2 linked regions of the Styela clava genome follow. The protein of the gene in region 1 binds, or shares a complex with, the protein of each later gene. Links are inferred from orthologs where the notes say so. Each region holds a gene or a part of one and is shown in the gene's direction. Other genes may lie near its edges.

Region 1 (7,872 bases):
GCGCACATAGTAAATTTGCTCATCTACTTTATCTGTTTATCGTAGAACTATTGGTTGGATAGACACAATTGTCATTTACCGCAATCAATTCCTGTATGGTTGCTTTATTGGATTACATTTAATAACTGGATATTCTGTTTAACTGTGGATTTACTTGGATTAAAATATCATTTCAAACAACAACATCAGAGCTGCATATTTCCAGTGTATCATAGACAGCAAGACAGGTTTTGGGAGCGCGTATAAATGCATTGCAGTCATAGACTATTTGCGGGGCTATTGAACTAAGTTGGACTTTGGCTACCGTAACACTAAGGTTTAGTGGAAGTTTTGACTTTAACCATAACATTGTGGGTAGATGATGGGCATGACGCTGTAAATATTATTAAAAACTTGCACTTTGTTTTCGGTATTTTGATGATTCAACGACAGTACAGTCGGGTGTTAAAATAACGTATGGGTTCAAATATCACAACTATGATATACCGTGTTTCCCCTAAAATAAGGTCTTTTCTGAATTATAAAAATGATTTCAACATAAGCTCTCCCCTCAGAATAAGACCTAGTCGATAGCGCAAAATTTATTTGGACCTAGTCAATAGCAGGAAATCTCGGTACTTCCGAAGTATGTGAACCAAGATGACGGACACCGGAAAGTAGTATATGTATCACGTTGGGGTTAGGCCATATTTTCAGGTACAAATACTACGGGAGTCACTTGGCTAGTCACCGAACTCGTAACAGAACTAAATATAGAAAAATTGGAACAAAATTATTGCATAAACCTAACCTGGTAAACATACTTCGGGAGTACCAAAATCTCTCCTACACGTTTTAAATGAATAATACGAATTCTAAAACTTGTGAGAGAGAAAAGGGTTCAATGACCTGAATAATCTAGGTTAAATATGAACGTGTTTTTCACAAGTAAATGGATATCGGTTTTTATATTTTGTATATATATTTGAAAATCTGGTAATTCTCTACTTTGCAATCTTGTTTTTGATATATGAAAATAAAGGACATCCCCAAAAAATAAGCCCTAGTGTTATTTTTCGAAGAAAATTGAAATAAGTAACTGTATTATTTTGGGGATTTTTCTTGAGTTGAAAATCAGTGGAAAATCGGCTCCCTTCGTTAAAAAAATGTATTAATATCGAATAAAAGAATCTTTACAATTGTCGTACTGCATAACCGGTGCGGTGGCGAGCGTATTTCTAGCGCTTGGCACAATGCACCATACCGCCGAGAAGGCTTACCATACATATCGGTATAGTCGGGGCAATCCCGATTTTAGCTATAGTTGTTGCGCCGTCCCGGCCGATAGACCTCAATGACCGGTTATGCAGTATGAAAGTATGCCTTTTTTATTTGATATTCATACAAAATTGTTTTTTACCGGACGCAGGTGAACTCCTACTGGTTTACAACTCACCTTACTAGTTCAGATTGTTATGTCATAGTTATGTTATGAAGTACCATGTACCATGCGTTAATTCAACACCCAACTGTACTGTCGTTGAATCATCAAAATGCAAAAAAACAAAGTGCAAGTTTTCTGATAAATTAAAGAGCGATTTCCATTATTTGAAGCAAAGACCAATAGAGGACATTTTAGTATGGTTTACAGCTAATTTTGATTCACAATTATTACTAAGCTAAGGGATCGAACCAAGATCGGCTTGTCCTATCCGCACAGTCTCGTTTTTTGCGTCAGACATACTGTAAGCCTACCTATAGAACATTTCGCGGTTGCATCTAACAAGCGTATATATATACAATTAGAGCTGGGCATTTCGAATCTGACAGTGAATTATGCGTATCTGTTCGCATACATAAATTTTTGTGACCGTACATTTGAACACATGTGTATATCCCCGGGTTCAATCTATATGCGGGTGCTAAAACCCATGGGTTAGGGTTAGTATGGGTTCAAATATCCGCAAAACAAAAAAAAAATTTATAGGTGCAATAGTATGCAGGTGCAATTGTCGTGGGTTCAAATATAATGGAACCATAAATTTTGAATCGCCGCCATCTTGTTTATTTTGTGCGAAGTCAAGGTGTATCCTTCAATTTTTTAAAAGCAATTCTGACATTTGATTATTTCTGTCTTCCAAGTGAGTTATTGATGGAATAAGTTTCCTATTGTGATGCGAAAGCGAAGCGAACTGTTCAAATGATATTAATGTACCTGGAGTACTAAAGCACCGGTCGGCACCCTACGGCCCGCGGTCCTGATTCGGCTCGCGACATTTCCGTGAATTATGGCGACAAAACGACGGTTTAGGGGTGGGCAAGGTTATTGTACCGCGGGCCACCTAGACTGGCGGGCCATTAGGTGTAACGTGGAAGGTTACATTTTGTGAACAATATTTACAGTGTCACAAAAGAAAAATTGGGGAACAATAAGCCTCGTGCTTAAACTGAATTTAATCGCAATCTCAACAAAATCCTTGAGCTAATTTTTATCTGAGACACCAAAATTTGGTTTTACTTTGGTTGTGGCAGCATCGGGCGGGCCAAATCAATGTCCCCAACGGGTTGGATTTGGCCCGAGTGCCGTTGTTTGCCCAGGCCTGGTTTAGACGATGAATTAATTTTACGATCTACGTTTGGGTAGTTCAGTATTATCTTTGCGTAACAAAATTTATAGTAAGATATGTTTAGATTAAATTATATTATAATCTAACAATTTAGTGAACACTCGTTTAATGAGCCTCAATTTAATTGTAATCAGAAAAATGGCAAACAACGCAGAAAAGTTGATGCTGAGTGCAAAGGTTTCAAAGGCGCAGAACACTTGGGCAAAAAGGAATAGAACATTATACGTCACTATGAAACGAAGCATTTTAAAATCGGCTTAGAAAAACAATAGAAAGGAGGATAGATGGCCAAAGACGTGAAGATAGGAGTAAACAATTCAAAGTAGGTCTAACAAAACAAAGCTCTTTCTTCCTAAAACAATTTACAACGAAAACGAACAGAATACTGTTGCCAGTTTCGAAAAGTTTTTGAATTTGCTTAACACTTCGTAAAAAAGTAATTGATGACTGCAGTCGGTATTGTAGGCCCTAAAAAAAGTAAATTTATTCTCCTATATCAGCCTTTCTGCTAGAAACTTGACTCGGCTAATAGAAGAAATGTTAAAGGATGTGAAACGCGGTCAAAAGCATGCTGACGTCATTTTCCGTCTTAAAAACGAATTCAGGCTGTTTAGTATTCCGTTTGATGCCAACGTGGATACGGTTGCAGAAAACATTCGGATGGAACTTCTTAAGATGCAATGGAATGAGGAAATGAAATCCATTTTCTATTCGAGAGATGTGTGTTGCAACATGCCGCCTGATGTCAAAAAGCTATCAAGAGTGATGCAACAACACGTGTCACGTATTAGATGTCATTTGTAATTTTATGTCTCTTAGTAAGACGACTGAGTTGAGTTCACGAGTTTTCACGCGCTGTTTAAAATCTAGAATTCCAACTTCTGATCGGTGTGAAAAAAATGTGATTCATCGGTCATCCATTTAGTTCTTAACTTATTAACCCATGTATCACAGTGAAAATACCACATACGATTATATCTTCAAAATATTTCGAATTTGATTTGAAAATTTTTAGATTAGATTTTTAAATCATCAAGTACGCGATATTGCCCAGTCCTGTGACCTACGATAAGGATACTTTCAGACCATTGCCGCAAAGACGTTTTCCTGTGGTTTTACAAAATTTTAGAGGTGCAAAACTTCCTAAAAGGTAATAAAAAATTACTGTAGAGCGTAAATTTAAAAAAAGCAATGCGAAAATATATTTATACGAAATCCAAAATAAAGTACGGTTCCGTTTTGTACAGTTCCGACCCGCATCAATTAATCTCCGAGTCTCGCGTAGCGTCGCGTCAAATCGGAATCTCGCCGCCGCGTTTGGCGGATTAAAACATGAAAATATAAGAATATGGCGACATTTTGGATGAAATATCAGATCTCATTGAAAATTTAGGAATAAAAGTAATAACATTCTAGCAAAAAATACAATCTTCAACCATTGAAAATTTCAAAGCAATGGTCCATTAGTATATGAGAAAAACGATTTTTTTGTAACAACATGAAAAAAAATACCAACAAAATCAACATAACAGCAAAACGATCCACCACCACGTGTCCAACAATTTCAATTGTCGTGTCGAATCGTTCGTTACAAACGCGTTTATATACGCGGAGCATCAGCCTACCTGTGTACAAGGCGTGCCCAACAGTTGCTGAAGTCGGCGAAGACCTAGGGCTAGAACAAATAGTATCGATACGTTTTAATTTTTCTTCCTATTTAAAGTTTAGCCTTAATTCATTTAGAATTGTAAATGTGTCACAATTGGCAACCTCAGGCATAATTCAAAGTAAGGTCTTGAACATATATCCCGTCTCTGTTATACCGTTTAATTATTATGCAGATACTGTTACATTTTTAGGCAAATAAACATACATTTTCGTACCGGTAATCCGTACAACAGTACCGAAACGGTGCCCGCAATCGAACAGCCCACTTCAGGTCGCACGGATAAGTGAATTCCGGATTCAAAAATGGCGGGTTCAAAATTTCTAGACAGAATCAGTCTTGCGGAACCATTTTTAAACTGATTAAATCTTTATACTTCAGTATGATATAGCTAACGTTATGTGAAATTATATTTTGTTTTGAAGTTTGCCTATTCTTTGTTTACTGCTGGACGAAAGAGAGCTAAATAACTGAACGAAAAAACGCGATGACGTCATAAATCCAGCGCGATGAAAAACGAAAAAGTGCGAACGCATTGCGAAAACCAGATCAAACCGGTTGCAGCTTCGACTCGCTTCTTCTGTAAATTGCTTTTCGAATATCATTTCATGAAATTGACTGTTCGCAGGGAGGAGTTACTTGTCGTAAAAGAAATTTTAAAGCAGTTACTTTACAAAGCTTATATTGAAGAAGGCATAACTTGAATAAGTCGTCAAGAAGAAAGCGTAGACTAGTAGAATACTAAATACGTATTTAACAGAAATTTGAAACGAATCTAACCTTCAAAACGGCGGCTACAGCGATATCCGTTTCGGATTTGCAATCTGTGAGTATATTATAATCTATTTACGAAATTTTTGTAACAAAATTCAGTCAGAAACTAGTAAAATTGTGTTTTTCTTCCAAAATTCTGGCACATCTGTACCGTGTACCGTACGTTCAAATGGAAAATTACATAAAGATGTAGTAATGTTTCGCGGGGTTTCCCCATGATGTGTTTACAATTTCATTTTTTCTGGTTATAGGCCTATCCTCGATTGGCAATTTTTATTTTCGTGGGGAGGACATAATATAAGAAATTAAAATCGTATGTGATAAGTCGGGGAAACACCCAACTTCGAATGAAAATAGAAACGCTCGCTTTTGAATGCCCGTGACGTCATGGAAATTTTCTCACGGTTCCCACGATGAGTGGAAAACTACACGATGGTGTGTGTGCGCGCGTGAGATTGGTTTGTTTAATAACACGCGCGACGCGCTCGAGGTGGATTCACGCGCAGATGACTTTTCCGTGTTGCGAACCAGTGCTGGCCGGTTCGATCAAATTTTGGACGGTTTGGGGGTGATTTTACCGTCTTTTTGTTTTGTTAAAGAATTTTAATTATGTGAAACAACATATTGAAACGATATATCGCAATGTTCATAAAATATATATACAAATAAATTCATATTAATCACAGATATTGTGACCACTTGTTCACAGGGTATTTTTCATACAGGAATTTTCCATTTAACCTAATGGAAATGATTTTTGTAGGTGTTGTTTATAGTAGAAACGCCCAAAAGACTTATTGCATGATTAAAATGAGCCAACTGAATTTAAAAGACTAATACAGGAACCTCAAGGGTGGAGGAAAGGCTATGGATCCTTGTTAATAAGACACTGGCCATGTTACTGTTACAAGGCTATCATACTCCCGTAGTGGTTCCATTACATTTGAACCCACGTACATTTGAACCCATGACAATTTCACCTGTATGCTATTGCATCTATGGAATTTTTTTTTTTCACGGATAGTTAAACCCATACTAACCCTAACCCATGGATTTTAGCACCCGTATATAGATTGAACCCATGGATATACGCATGGGTTCAAATGTACGGTCACCTCCCGTAGTATGTACCATGTCAGCATCTTGGGTTTAGGCCACAATTTTATTCTGATTTTTCTCACTTCAGTTCTATTACGAGTTCGGTGACTGCCTGTGTTAGCCAAGTAAATATCCCCCTACCTATAGGTTTCAGTCCCTTGATGTAAAGTATGCGAACAAAATTTGTTGCGTATATACTGGTACGCATACTTCTGGAGCGTAGTGTTGGGTATATGGCTGTATCCTGCTGCGCTTCTTCTCTAGAGTAAAACAACGTGTACACTTTTTTCTCAAATTTACAATTTATTTTTATTGATTGAAAAAATTAAATTGACATTCACTCTGCCCTACTATGTCAACTATGCTTTAAAATCAAATTTATTGGTTGTTATATACCATAAATTGGTAATGAGAGCCATATTATGTCATATGATCAAACCAGATTATTGTTTTTAACTGGATAACTATTCCCACACCCAATATGGACTGGTAACTGGCCTTGGTTTGCCATATTATGGTTAAGCCATCTTATCAACTTTCCCCTATTTTTTGAGATGTTTGATCCTTTCGCGAACTACAAACTCATACCGATACAGTTTAGTTTTGGTTATAGTTAACAGGTTATTGTTGTAAAAATATTGGCGCTACGTAGTATGTGCACCAAGATGGCGGATACCATAATGTGGTATGTATACCAGGTTAAGGTTCGGCCATAATTGTATTCCAATTTTTCTTATTTTAGTTCTATTACTAGTTCGGAACGAGCCAAGTGACTCCCGTAGTATTTGTACCTGTACTTAAGGCCTTACCTGGTACACATACTTCGTTCCGGTGTCCGCCATCTTGGTTCACATACTACGGTGGTACCCAAAATATCTGCTGTAAGGAGGTCCATGCATCTCAACGAATAGCTAATTCCGTACCCAACATGGACTGGTAACTGAATGAAAGACCATGGTTTGCCATATGATTGAGCCATGTTATCATTATCAATCATTTTATTCTGGTTCTTTAACATAAATGACACAAAAAGTAAGCAGACAAACAAAATGCAAGGATACCTGGGAGGCGAGCATAAGTTAAAATAAGTTAGAGCATAAGTTTAAAAGCATATAACTTGATACAAGGCTCTGCCACGCCAAAAAATTATCATCTTTTCCCTTTTGAAATAAATATGAAAATCCTATCATGTCATGGTGTGACAGTATTAATGAATTAATCAGTTAAAATTTTGAAATATTTCTTTTTCCAGGCATCCAACAAAATGACGCCACCAATCAATACTAATTCCATGGGAACGGTATTAACTCAGCAAGTCGGCCAGCAGTTGCTGGACTTCTCACAGAAATTGGATATTCAACTCCTTGATAATGTCGTAGGATGTATGTACGACGGATCTGGACAACCGGTAAGATGTTTTTCAAATTGAATTATTATTTTTGAAGTCTGTATAAAAAGTTTATTCGATTCAGTCTGTTCAAGATCAGTGGTTCTCTATCCGCGGGCCAATTACGGCACGCGCAACGATTTAATATGGCCCGTCGAACTTATTTGAAAAAATTAAACACTTCATATTTATCATCTTTTTACGTTCTAGATACCAATTTTTACGCCGTTATCACAGTTTAAGCACGTGTATATTTGCGACAACTCAATTATAATGATATTTTATTATACGGTTCTGATATGGGCCCTTTGGGTGTGAGAATATTCTTCCGCTTCTAATTT
Region 2 (6,973 bases), on another chromosome or scaffold:
TTACAAGGAATTTGCTTGTTTATTTCTGGTTGTCAGTTTCCCCTGTTCGGTACAATTTCAAAAGTACTAAAGATATAAACCGGTGCCATCCTGTTACCGCTCAATAAATTTATTTTCGTTTTGTTTGATTCTGTTTCTTTGGTTTAGTTAAATAGGAAAGGATAGGATTTAGGATAGGATTTACATATTTATCCCGGGGGAGAGGAAAGCCGATAAGACGGCTTATCCATATGGCGAACCACGGCCTCTCGTCCGGTTACCATTCCAAGTCGGGTATGGGATTAGTTTTACTGTATTGTTTTTTTTTTTCGGAAGCATGGACTTGGTGGTGGAGGAAGCCGTAACCGACCAGCGGTTACGTGAACCACCCAACGACGGCGAGGAGTCCAGCAATCCTCTCGCACATAACCATCCCTGCATGGGATTCGAACCTGCGAACCCACGCAGAGTAATTAGAGGTGCGGTGGCGAGCGTATTCCTAACGCTTAGCCCGTTGAGCCACACCGCCGCGCGGAACAATAACCTAGCCTAAGATAAACTGAATCAAATAGGACATACTGAATAATTGGGGGTGAGGCAATTGGAGGGCAGTACAGTATCTATAAAACTTTTACCGCTAGGGATAATCTGAGGAAACGGGCAGATTATCGTAAAGTCGTTGTCAAATTAGATAATAGAATCTTGAGCGTCGCCGCTCGATAGACAGCTTTGCATCTCCGCGGGTTCCCTTCCCCAATAAAAGTGTGTACAGTACTTATCATTTCCCTCGTAAATTGTGTGAGATTAATTTCAGATCGGGGAAACTGTGATTAAGGCGCCTTGTTGGCTTTCCCTGGTTAAATAGGACAATTGTATCCTATTCAAACTAGTTTTAGATTTTACCGCTTTAGTACCAGAATTGAGTATTTCCATTCATGTTCAAGTTTATTTTTTTATCCAGTAAAAAATACAAATTACGTTATTCAAGGATAAAAAGCCAATTTTCAATCTTATATTAACATTTTATTGCTACGGTACAAGAGCAATGATTACCGATGTTGTATCCTAGCAAATAACACTTACATAATCTCACGAATGAACTCAGAAACGAGCGATATGCTTGAGTAAACAAACGAGGCAATGGAAAATTTTCAAAACTAAACCACGTGCTGTGACGTCATCGGCGCGAAAGGACGGTCTCGTCTCGATCTGGACGGTTGTTAGTTTCTGGAGGTGAGATTTCGAAATTTTATTTTCATTTAGAAAAAGATGTTTTGTATTTGTGGAGGGGGGAGATAAATACGATGTGACGGCTTAAAATATACGGGTTTTTATAGATTTACCAGTCCATGTCAATTATGGGAATATTTTGGCGCCAAATCGTTTCAGGTCCGCTTACTTTTGCGTTTGATTTCGCGTATTCAGGACATCCGCGGCTGGATTTGATTAATTTACTATTATTTTTTTTGCCAACTGCCGCTACCTCCTATATTCAGTCTTATGATGATAAAGTTTGTTTGCATATTTTATAAAGCTTAGGTACCGTGCAGTCAGACAGTAGTAGGATATCATATTTGCCCCTCCACAATCTGACATTTCTGTTTACAGGTTTAGTCATATCGGATCGGGACACTCAGACATTACAGCATTAGGATAAGTTATGCTATTGCCACACATTTCTCTCTTTATATTGTTCTATAAACAAATCATCCCAATCTTAGGTGATTCATTTTTATGACCTGTTACATTTGTTATGCCTGTATGCTGAAGACGGATCTGTATTGGACTTGGAAACAGAATAGACTACTGGACTACAAGAAACAGTTTAGAAAGTGAGCTAATACAGTAATAAATCCAGTATGCACACTTTAGGATCGAGAGACATTGTCTCGTTTTCAAAGAATCCCATTTTGCCAATGAACTCCTTCCAGCCTTCCTTTTTGGGGACATCTGGACATTGTTGACCCTCAATACAGCAATATCGGCAAAAATACAGTAAAATGAAGTTAGGCAATAGACTACAAAGAAGCGTGATCCAAACACGTCATCATCGAATTCGATTTATCGAAGGAAAAAATTTTTTACCGTGGCATTCGAGAGTTTTTATAAAAAAATGGCAATTTTGATCACATGATGGCCGCGATTAATTTAGATTATTATCGCGACAAGCATGGTGCGATATGACGCATCTGGCGTTGTGCCAGACAACTCTCGTTTGTGAGACACAGGAGTGTTTGGGACATTTCTAGAATTTGAAAAGTATGCCCTACTGCTGTACTGAAATCCAATGGTGATGTTTTTAGATTGCCCTTGCTTTTAGTTTATTGCACAGTGCCAATTTGTCGCTTTAAGCTGATTATGGACATCCAGACTGGGAGTCGCAGTTCTTACCACTTCTTGACAGCTCCTGCCACGAACGAACCGCGACGACTCTTGCCATGGTTTATGGCGCTATCACAGTATTATCGGTATATTCACAAAGTCATGTACCAGATTTACGTTTATCATGCGAAAATATATCTACTTAAACCTGAAACCTAAACCCCAAATACATCTAAACTGTATCTATAAAAAATGTTCCAACTTACGCAATATAAGTCACCATCAGGGCAGCCTTGTCCTAACCATTCAGGTGTATATAACTAACGGCCGACCTGCCGTGGTTTTCAATTTGCAGCCGCGGTAACGGCAGCTCGCCATTGGTTTGTGGCAGTTGGTCGCCGTGAGTTTGGCCATAGTGGCCGTGGTTTGGAAATACCGCTATGGTTTGCGGCAGCTCCAGACGCCGAGAAATGCTTAAAACTGCACTTGAAGACTGGAGGGGCTTGCACTCACTGTTATATTTATTGCCTTTTAATGTGGAGCTATCCTTAGAATGTTCATTTTCTTCAAGTCAGGGCCGTGAAGTCTGATGTACTCGAGACTGAGCAGACTTCCTAATTTCTCAAATTTGAAAGTCCAAGTCTCTATTACCGACTTTCAATGTAGATGGAAAATGGCTGCATTTCCAACAGAAAACTAAGAACAAAGTTTGCCAAGCGCTCTGTGCAGTTTTTGTCTTCAAATCTCAATTTTCTAGGATTTCGGAGTTGATTTCAAATTTTTTACAGGCTGTCAAATCTTTTCTTAACCCACTGTCTGGCAGTACGGCACACTATACAGATTGAGCGACATTGTCTTGTTTCAGAGAAACCCATTTTACCGGTGATCAGACACCCCTCCCCTTTGGGAGACGTCTGGACATTGTTGTCCCTCAATATCGGTGAAAATACAGTATAACGAAGTTGCGCAAAATACTACAAAGAAGCGCAATCTAAATACGTCATCATTGAAGTCCTCGGGAAAAAATAATCCGATTTAACGAAGGAAATTTTTCTTTCATGGCATTTGAGAGATTTTAGAAAAAAACGGCAATTTTGGTCATGTGATGGCCACATTAATTTAGCTATGGCGCGATATGATGCATCTACCTTTGTGCCAGACGCTCCTTGTTTGTGAGACACATAGAGTGTTTGTTTTATCGAACCAAATGAAGGGAAATTCTCGGAATTTGGATAGTGTGTCGTACTGTCTGGAAGTAAATTTCCAGACACCATAATCCTGATACAAATATTCTATTCGCTTTGGATATCTCAGTAGGGCACAGTTTGCAGATTCCAAAATGTCCCAACGTTTGGTTCAATAAAACACTCAATATGTCTCTGAAACATCTGGCATGCAGCAGGTGCATTAGTTCGCACCATGCTTGTCTCAATAATAATCTTAAGTAATCGCAACGAGTGCAGACGCCAAGTGACCTAAATTGCGTTTACTCTCACATAAAGGAGGGAGGTTGCACTCGCTGTTATAATTGATGTCTTTTAATATAGAATCGGAGAATCATGCTATACTGTATATTGACCAGTTTTCTGATCACAAATTTATATTTCTTCTTTAGAAATTAGATATTTTGCTTAGTTAATTTGGCAATTACGGTAGAATTTGTTTGGGAAAACATAAAATATGGCACAGCAACAAGCAGACAGCGACATCCCTCGTTTCAAATTGGTACTTGTTGGTGATGGAGGTGTAGGTAAGTCATATAGGTAGATAAAAAAAAAGTTTCTTACATTTTGAATATTTTTAGGCTGACTATTATTCCCTGAAAAATAGAACTCGCGCAAATGCAGTTTTAGGGGACCGGTCGCTTCAGCTGCTGTGGAGGCTGTCGTGTTTGCGCAGATATCAAATACATTTCAAAGTTGAAAGATCAGGAAAAAATGATTTTTGACTGTTACGGATTTCATGGGAGAAGTTAAGTTCCTTATATTCTTCAAGGCTCAGAATGTCTTGGCATGAACAATTGAAAAGCTTTTCATGATGCTCTTTCATGTCTATTGCTATGAACACGGCCCTCTACAGGCAGGGAGCCACTGATATCTACTACAGGGACAGTGACTCCTCTACAGCCCATGGGCCGGGGCCACGGCCCATCTAATTGGGCCACGTGGGCCGTGGCCCATCAAGCTATGGGCCGCGGCATCATCAGTATATATCAATTGTCTTAACAAAATAGTCCAGTAGTATGTGTACCAGGTTAAGGTTGGGACAAATTTTCGTTCAAGTTTTTCACATTATAGTTCTATTTTGAGTTCGGGGACTGTCTGTGTTAGCCAAGTGAATAGTCCTTTTACACAACTTATTCGATGGGCTGGGCCCCGGCCCATTGGCCATAGAGGAGTCACCACTTCCCCTCGATATCTGAGGATATGTGGAAAGATTGGAATCTTTCTTGATTTTAGGAATAGTCTTTATTTGGAAAATCATTGTCTAAGTGAGGAAGCTTACAGCCAAACCAAAAAAATAACAATGGAATTGTTGAATATGAACTACCGGTAATTTAATGACCTGGCCCGAGTGCAGTGATACGTTTGTCAACAATGCGCGAGGCTTGATGCAGTGATTGTATATTTTTTTAATGGGAATGAAGCATTTCGTTATTAATATATGTTAAATTATTTGTAATTTTACTCAACGAAAGTAGAGGCAAACTTAAAAATTTCAATGCAAACAAAACAACTCGGGCTTGATTTTTAACGTGTAAATACGGTAGAAAACGTATATGGATTGGACGCCGGGTAATTCAGCAGTAAAGCGAAACTAAAGAAAGCAAAAAGTACATTTTTACTATAGCGGAATATTTATTCACAGCGATCGGGCCTCTCGCTTTGTTGATGTCATATCTTCAGCCTCATGGGCCGAAACGTGTGTATGCCACATTCCACATAGAATACAGTCAATATTCGGTACTCCCGTTCCCGTAGTATGGGAACCAAGATGGCGGACACCGGAATGTAGTATGTGTACCAGGTTAGGGTTAGGCCATAATTTCAGGTACAAATACTACGGAACTTCCCAAACTCGTAATAAAACTAAAATTGGAAAAGAATTATGGCCTAACCCTAACCTGGTACACATACTACGTTCCGGTGTCTGCCATCTTGGTGCACATACTACAGGAGCGCCCAAGATTCAAAAATATTATTTTAAAATGTGTTCTGTGTGTATTAGGTTTTATTTGTTTTGCCTTCTTTGGTAATGGGTGTTTTATTTGTTTTGCCTTCTTTGGTAATGGGTAGGGGTTCAATTTCCCACTATAAATTGCAATTTTTTTTATTGTTGTGAATTTCCATATGTTAAATAATTTATTGAAAAAATTTTTTTTAGGCAAGACAACGTTCGTCAAGCGACATCTTACTGGAGAGTTTGAAAAGAAATATGTGGCAACCCTCGGAGTAGAAGTCCATCCGTTAAGTTTTCATACAAATCGTGGAAAAATTATTTTTGATGTCTGGGACACAGCTGGACAAGAAAAATTTGGAGGCTTGAGAGACGGATATTATATTAGAGTAAGTTAAAGTTTCTGAACCCGAGAAAAATTTCTTCCCGCGGGGGGTCGGTTTTGAAGTTTTTGGGAAGGGAATTTTACTTTGTACTTGCGTGTTGACTTAGGGATGCATGCCACTTTTGGATTTATGGATCGATTCGAATCGCATCTTTTGCGAATCAGATTTACGCGACTTGGTAACAGAGAGCGATTTACCGAAAAATAAAAAGATTGAATGTTTGTTTATCTTTGTTTTCGGCGGCATTTAAATTTGCCGAATGCGTTTATGCGGCACTCCAAATAACACCAATTGAGCAAACATAGGCGTGCAATAAGAAAAAAAAAAGCTTAATGGAATCAGATTCGATTCGATTCGAAAAAAAGTGTATCCAGAACTGGCAACCCTACGTGTGGTATCATTTATATTTATACTTAACATGAAACTCAAAAAAAAAGTTACTTTTTGTAAGTGGTCAGCTCATACGCGCATAACTCTGATCGCACTCAATCAAACGAAATGACATTAACCTAATCCAATTCGAACCATGCTTGAACTTGATCACTTGTGTGATTTGTAGGGTCGGCTTATATGCATATTTTTAGAAATTGACCATTTCGGGGCCGTTTTTAGGGGTTTTATATAGTATTTAGTATTATTGTAATGAATATGAATATGCATACATTAACTTATATTTCGTTAACAAAAGCCAGAGTTTGAGTTGCACGCATTGCAAACCAAACGTAAATCAAGAATAAGAAATGCAAATTTTTATGCAAAGTGGGAAAAGACTTGGGAGCTTAAAAGTTGGCCCAGAGAGAAACGGGTCAATAAAGGTGTAGATGGAGTTATTTAAACTATTTCTGGCATTTTTTTTGGGGGGGGGGCTGATTTGATTTGTCTGGGATTGTTGAGTCAGGAGATGAGTTGGGCGCATTCTGGCTGGAGTAGTATTTTCAAACTTTTCAAACCCAGAGTTGTGCGTTAAAATTCTGAATTCTCGGAGTATGTGTCGGGATTTCAGACATTTGATAGTGATGAATTCAAAATAAAATGGATCTTTTAAAGCGTCTTATACTCTTAATTAACAGTTTATCAAAGAAGGCTTGCACTCACAAAATATTTTGTTA

What was found.
Region 2: the proteins of exportin-1-like (region 1) and GTP-binding nuclear protein Ran-like are in contact, whole or in part, in a crystal structure (PDB 7B51), measured with the Homo sapiens proteins. The link is inferred for Styela clava from reciprocal best matches to the Homo sapiens genes XPO1 and RAN. Residues at the interface, in NP_003391.1 of Homo sapiens: Leu35, Tyr36, His37, Gln43, Arg44, Gln47, Leu50, Thr51, Lys54, Glu55, Asn74, Tyr77, Tyr78, Gln81, Lys124, Val125, Lys129, Met132, Leu173, Glu176, Glu177, Phe181, Gln185, Lys266, Thr269, Glu270, Asp313, Gln316, Asn317, Gln320; in NP_006316.1 of Homo sapiens: Lys12, Lys37, Lys38, Tyr39, Val40, Ala41, Leu43, Gly44, Val45, Val47, Trp64, Glu70, Lys71, Gly74, Leu75, Arg76, Asp77, Gly78, Tyr79, Ile81, Gln82, Val96, Pro102, Asn103, Arg106, Arg110, Val111, Glu113, Val124, Asp125.

What each region holds. Positions count from the first base shown.
Region 1 is NC_135255.1:23,656,985-23,664,856, reverse strand, and holds the start of exportin-1-like, read left to right. Parts: upstream 1-4,836; 5' UTR 4,837-5,098; intron 5,099-7,396; 5' UTR 7,397-7,408; coding exon 7,409-7,552; intron 7,553-7,872. UniProt on the Homo sapiens protein: Mediates the nuclear export of cellular proteins (cargos) bearing a leucine-rich nuclear export signal (NES) and of RNAs.
Region 2 is NC_135252.1:24,004,443-24,011,415, reverse strand, and holds the start of GTP-binding nuclear protein Ran-like, read left to right. Parts: upstream 1-3,916; 5' UTR 3,917-3,981; coding exon 3,982-4,051; intron 4,052-5,685; coding exon 5,686-5,867; intron 5,868-6,973. UniProt on the Homo sapiens protein: GTPase involved in nucleocytoplasmic transport, participating both to the import and the export from the nucleus of proteins and RNAs. Switches between a cytoplasmic GDP- and a nuclear GTP-bound state by nucleotide exchange and GTP hydrolysis.